Linked DNA regions of Bombyx mori. The protein of the gene in region 2 purifies or fractionates together with the protein of the main gene of each other region. This does not show direct contact. Links are inferred from orthologs where the notes say so. Each region holds a gene or a part of one and is shown on either strand. Other genes may lie near its edges.

Region 1 (3,523 bases), on a different chromosome or scaffold from region 2:
TGTATTCGTCGCCAGGTTTGACCCGCATGGACATTTTGACCGCGATCCGCAACGCTACAGGCCCTAGACCGGCTTTATTCGTCCCTGAGGTATCTTTTGAGCTTCTGGTCAAGCGACAGATTAGAAGACTGGAAGACCCTTCGTTACGTTGTGTTGAACTGGTATGCTTATTGTTAATAATCTTAAAAATATTTACAAAATATTAAAATTAAAAATATATTTCAAACATATTAAATAATAATTATTATTAGGCAAATTAATATACATTAGTAATATATCGCTTACTTATTTGAAAATTTAATTAAATTTCATTCTTAAATGAACGACTCATAGTAGTCATTACACAGCTATACCATGATCATACACTCATTATTTTATGTTGCTGTTGTTGACCACTAGAACGTTATTTAATTATTCTGCTGTCTGTACACTACTATATAGGTTTACTTTTAGTGCTATATATTAAGCAGTAGATAGAGCATTTGAAATTTTATACCTACCGTGAACATTTCCAGAACTGCCCTTCGTATATGTTATAGGACTACACCCTGTATTTACATGATTATTATGAATAAATTTCATAGCCATAGTATATTTTTACCACACCCTGTATTTACTTACATGACTATTATGCTTAAATTTCATTAATGGTATTTATTAGCCATAGTATATTTTTTTACTAATGCCTTTTCACCCAATTGTAAACAAGCATTATATTCGTTTATTTCAACACACAGGTACACGAAGAAATGCAGAGGATCGTTCAGCACTGTGGCACAGAAGTCCAGCAGGAAATGCTACGTTTCCCACGCCTGCACCAGCGCATCGTCGACGTCGTCACGCAGCTGCTGAGGACTAGATTGCCTCCGACCAATTCTATGGTAAGTCGATTTGTTATACAGCATTCATAATACACCATTGTATCGAAAGCGCCAACGAAAATGATAGACAATCCTGATACGACCTATATCCTGCTATATATCCTTTTTATTTATTTATTTTTTATTGCTTTGGTGGGTGGACGAGCTCACAGCCCACCTGGTGTTAAGTGGTTACTGAAGCCCATAGACATCTACAACGTAAATGCGCCAGCCACCTTCAGATATAAGTTCTAAAGTCTCAAGTATAGTTACAACGGCTGCCCCACCCTTCAAACCGAAACGCATTACTGCTTCACGGCAGAAATAGGCAGAGTGGTGGTACCTACAAGAAGTCCTACCACCAATAATTCTGTCGTCATTCAGTATCAATGCTGTGGGTAGATGTTATGCGCCTCACGGGCAATCGCCACTTATCTCGGTTTGTGGTGAGCTTGATACGCTCATGTAAACAACCGCCAACCGCCGACTTTACTTTGTCGATCGATCGCATGGGCAACCTTCCACGCGGTCTGGTGCCTCTTACTTTGCCCTGAACGACAAAGCGCTCTATGGAGTCATTTCCTCGCCGGGAGATATGTCCAAAAAATGATAGTATGCGACAAGCTGTAATTTTATCTGATGGTTCGTAGAACATACAGTCAGAGACCATCGCTTTACAACCCGTATAGCTTTATCTGTTTCCAGTTGTAAAAGCTGACGCATAGTATCTTGTTTAACTAACTTTACTAATTTAATTTATAGTATTTATAGTAACTAGTTTAATCCTTGCTTGCGAAAATTTTCATTTATCAAAATTATTTTTAATAATGTACAAGTGTAAATGTTGTGCTGCTTGCCAGTAATAGTCATAGTATTATCGCGCTTTCTTTTATTTTATTTTATTTTCTTTGTTGTTTCGTTGTAGGCTGCCCACAGGTTGTTATTACTGTGTGTGCTTATGTATGTTTTGTATTCGGGTTCACCATTTAATTTGATTTTTGTTTCGTTTTTTTATACTAGTTTATACCATGTTTTAAGTCTGTACACACGTACCTAGCCTTCATTCCCGCAAAGAACCAAAGGGAAACGGGGGTGACTGAAAATCAGCGCTGTTCGATTTATCGACCTTGAACAGCATTAGCTGAGCCATCTCCTTTTGCCTTTTTCTCTTTTTTTTCTTCTCTTTTATTAGTATTTTATTTTGTTTAGAATGTGAAAGGCAATAAATGATTTTATGATTATTATTATTATTGTTGTAGGTGGAGAACCTGGTGGCTATCGAGCTTGCGTACATAAACACGAAGCACCCCGACTTCCACCGCGAGGCGGCGCTGGTGTCCGGCCTGCTGAAGAGCGGCGACGACGACCACAGTCCCGTCTATAGACACAAGACTCCCAGGCCTTCTCCCTCACCGGTATCCAACTTGATCAAAGTAAAACCGCTTATTATGAACACGTCTGATGTTTCACTAATTATACTAAGCCTACACGTGTGTTGTGACTGTGTGTGCGTATAATTAGAAGGAAAAAAAGGTTTTATATTAACTTTACCAAGCAAAGCATGCAATTGGAACTTCACTTAAAATATTACTAAACACTGTTTGCATCTTTAAAACAAAAACTGAGTACTGATACACTCAAAAACTATCGAGAGTCGTTATATTTTTATTCAGAATCATTTATATATGCCGTATACGCATATGTCGTGTTTGTTTGTTTTAAAAAAAAACTTATCATCAAATCATTGAAAATTTTACATAAACATGCATCTACCCAGGTAAGTTTTATTCACAATTGTTTGTATTAACAACGACTAACGGTAATTTTAGTGTCGGTTCGAATCTTAAATTACATTTTTTTAAACTTTTGCGGCTATCCCCATTAAACGCACTATTATTAAGACTTTCCTTTACCCGACAAGATCCAATTACGGTTCGACTCGCTGGATTCGAGTGGTAACATCAAAAATGGACTAAAGAAAAGCTGAATATATTTGTTTGTTAACAACAGTTTTTTTTTATGACCTGGTGACAGAGACCTTTAGGTCATATCTTATTTGGAAAATTTTCATTACTTTGGGTTAACAACACCTTATCTGCAGTCTTCAATCTACCCTACAGCAACTAAAAATCGTAGTATGACAAGCCGTTAAGTAATAATGTGTATTATCTAAACCAGAACTGTCCAGAAAACGACTTGTTATCATGCGGCCCGCGACGCATGTTTTAATCAGAAAATAGTTTTGAATATAAATAGTATGGACAATAGAATTCTTTGTCAAATCATATAATCATTATTTGGTATTATTTATCTGTATTCTTGTAACATACCATTCCCATGACATCATTTAAAAGTGAAGTTATCTTTTACATAATTTTTTTTTTAATATTTTAGTCTGGAAAGTATTTTGTTTTTGAAAATATTTTTTTCTGCGGCCCCTTCCAGCTTTTTTAGTAAATTTAATTAGCCCGCAAAGGTATGTAATTTGGACGGCCCTCATCTAAACGATATGTTAAGGTTATATAAATTACTATCTCGAAATTTTTGTAGCTGTTTCTCCGACAAATGGGTGAAAGAGGGTCCGCCCTAGTATTCTTGGCAAGCGTATTGGACGCGTACAAGGTAATTGTGGCGTGGTTATATTCGGGTCGCCATTAACTCGC
Region 2 (2,810 bases):
AATATAGGATCAGCAATCGAAAAATTTACCATATTTTAAAAATATACTGCGTGTTAGGAGACCGCTTCCGAAAACGAAGACAGACGATACTACTAATGACAATTTTGATGAAGGGACAAAAAAAAGTCGATCCTAATTTAAAAAAAAAAACATATTTTTAAAACATTTTTTATTAGCATTATTTACGTTCCACCATGTTAGTACAGCTAAATGAAACGATAGTTTCATAAAAACCTTACTTTACTTTAAAAAAAAACCAGCAATGAAACACAAAATCAAAAACAACTGATGCTCGGATCAACGAACGCCCGGGCGCGGCGCTGATACCACGCTCCCCAAAATTTACTTTGTTTACTATCGTCTGTCTTCGTTTTCGGAAGCGGTCTCCTAACACCTAGTATATACCACTAACGCCGACTCCACACGTTGGCCTCAACATAGGCCCCAACGCCACTCGCCCAACGTGTGGATTTAGAAAATAGCATTGGCCCCAACGTTGGTGCGATCATTGGTAGTTGGTTGTCAAGTGTCGGTTTTATCAAAGGAATCTGTGCCAACGTTCGCGCTCCGTCCACATGTGTGACATGTTGGCGCTTTGCTTAGTCCTGTTGCAACGCGCGTCGAGTTTGCATGTCGCGATGTCATCCACCATCTCTTTTGACGTGGGTTTTTCTTGTTTTTCAATAACAAATATAAATTATACGCACTCGGTACTGTAAAAGCGGTTAGAGCAATTTCAATTTCGGTATCGCACAATTTCACGTTGGCTCTGACGGAAAGGAACTAGTATAACAGCCAACGTCTGGACACTTCACCAGTTTAACCCCTCAACGTTGGTAGCAACGTTGGGGCCAACGTGTGGAGCCGGTGTAACACATGACACACAGTTTATCTAACTTTAAAAGTTACCCATTCCAGGTAGTAGGCCATCGCGAAGGTCTCGAGATGATGGAGTCGGCGGACCCCTTGGTTTTACTCGTGCTACTGCCCACGATCCCAGTGACCCTCATCAGTGCGAAGATGTATAACTGGGAGGATTCCGTTCTCCTGTTCCTCAGGAAGTACTGCGCTAAGATACCTGTCTTGGCTTATATTCTGCCTTTCGGAAAGTGAGTATATGAACTATCGGTGTGCTCATAGGTGTAGATGTCGTATGGGAAGGGTTTATCTTCGGCACCTGTTGACTGCGTTGTTGGTTACTTGTGATTGTGACCAGAGAAGCTTTTTTTTCTATAAGACTAAATAGTTCATCTTTATTATTGTTCTAAGGGGTCCGATTACGGTGCAACATACAATATAACACGACTAATAAGCATAGCTTAGCTAAGCGTACCTTAGTTTGGAGCATTCATGAAGCAGCTGCCCTTGAGTTGTTAGGTCTCCTTTGGAGGCGCTAGGGCGGCTGTTAGATAATCCCATCCCAACTAGCTGAGCCCTTGCTAACCGACCTGTCTTGGTGAAACTGGAAAGGCCTCCGGGCCACCGGTAATCCGTTCTTAAAAAACCTTAGTTTGGTGTTACTCATCAATTAGGGTGTGTTTCGTATTAACCCATAGACACAGCCTACTGGGTTTCTCACCGGATCTTCTCAGTGGGTCGCGTTTCCGATCCGGTGGTAGATTCTGCGAAGCACTGCTTTTGCTAGGGTTGTGTTAGCAACCTCCGGTTTGAGCGCCGAGAGCTCACCTACACGCTGGCGTGAAGCTAAAATAGCCTCTCAAGCCTATCAGCCAGAAAAAAATAGTGTGTTTCGAGAAAACTTTCCTGATTCTGCTGCATTAGAATTTGCCAAATTAGTTAACCGTCATTCGACGTTTTTTTTTTGCTTAGATGGGTGGACGAGCTCACAGCCCACCTGGTGTTAAGTGGTTACTGGAGCCCATAGACATTCACAACGTAAATGCGCCACCCACCTTGAGATATAAGTTCTAAGGTCTCAAGTATAGTTACAACGGCTGCCTCACCCTTCAAACCGAAACGCATTACTGCTTCACGGCAGAAATAGGCAGGGTGGTGGTACCCACCCGCGCGGATTAGAGGTCCTACCACCAGGAAAATTAGTTTAAAATATAAATAACAGAGTTGAAAATACAAATTTCTCTCATTGCAGCGTAGACAATGATCGCGCTATAGTGGCCGGTCAGACGACGCCACAGAACCCAAACGCGAGCCATCTATCCCCGACAAGGATATTCTGTTCGGCTCTGTTGCTACCAACGATATCGACGATCATAGGAAAGATATTCTTCCGTTCGATACAGAATAACCTCCACAGAACAATGCTCGGAGGCCTGACTTATATCACGTTGAAAGGGGCCTTGAAAATATATCACAAACAAATGCTGTACGTGAGGCATTCCAGTAGAAAGATATTGGATTACACGGAATCTAATTTGAAATTATACAGGAATTCGACAACCCTAGCGACCGATGCCGTTTCCAGTAGGGACGACAGCGAACAAGTCGTTTGAAACTAAACTAGTCGCGTAATGGAATTCAATTATAATATTTTTGTTCGTTTTTTTTGTTTTCAGAATATATTATTATGTAAAAAATCGATTTTATTAATCGTTATCAAGTATTGTTTGATGAAATATAAATTTGGGGTGTATAGAAAAAAAAAATTCAAAATTCCCAAATTTTATTATTTGAAATCGTTATGTAATTAATATGTTCTGAATATATGTGTGTATAAAAATACGACTTACAGCTTAAGATTTGTACGTAATTGTTTGTATATATTAAAAATGTTAGGTCGTTGTCTTTAATTTGGTAATTATAAAATGCGATAATTTTTATTAAAAATAACT

What was found. Proteins that work in one complex are often made in the same cells at the same time.
Region 1: the proteins of E3 ubiquitin-protein ligase MARCHF5 (region 2) and dynamin-1-like protein purify together in Homo sapiens (affinity purification with western blotting, with the first as the bait; 3 studies listed by BioGRID). This does not show direct contact. The link is inferred for Bombyx mori from reciprocal best matches to the Homo sapiens genes MARCHF5 and DNM1L.

What each region holds. Positions count from the first base shown.
Region 1 is NC_085119.1:10,597,230-10,600,752, reverse strand, and holds part of dynamin-1-like protein, read left to right. Parts: intron 1-15; coding exon 16-161; intron 162-737; coding exon 738-881; intron 882-2,119; coding exon 2,120-2,293; intron 2,294-3,410; coding exon 3,411-3,482; intron 3,483-3,523. UniProt on the Homo sapiens protein: Functions in mitochondrial and peroxisomal division.
Region 2 is NC_085132.1:5,309,524-5,312,333, reverse strand, and holds part of E3 ubiquitin-protein ligase MARCHF5, read left to right. Parts: intron 1-918; coding exon 919-1,109; intron 1,110-2,110; coding exon 2,111-2,471; 3' UTR 2,472-2,810. UniProt on the Homo sapiens protein: Mitochondrial E3 ubiquitin-protein ligase that plays a crucial role in the control of mitochondrial morphology by acting as a positive regulator of mitochondrial fission and as an important regulator of immune response.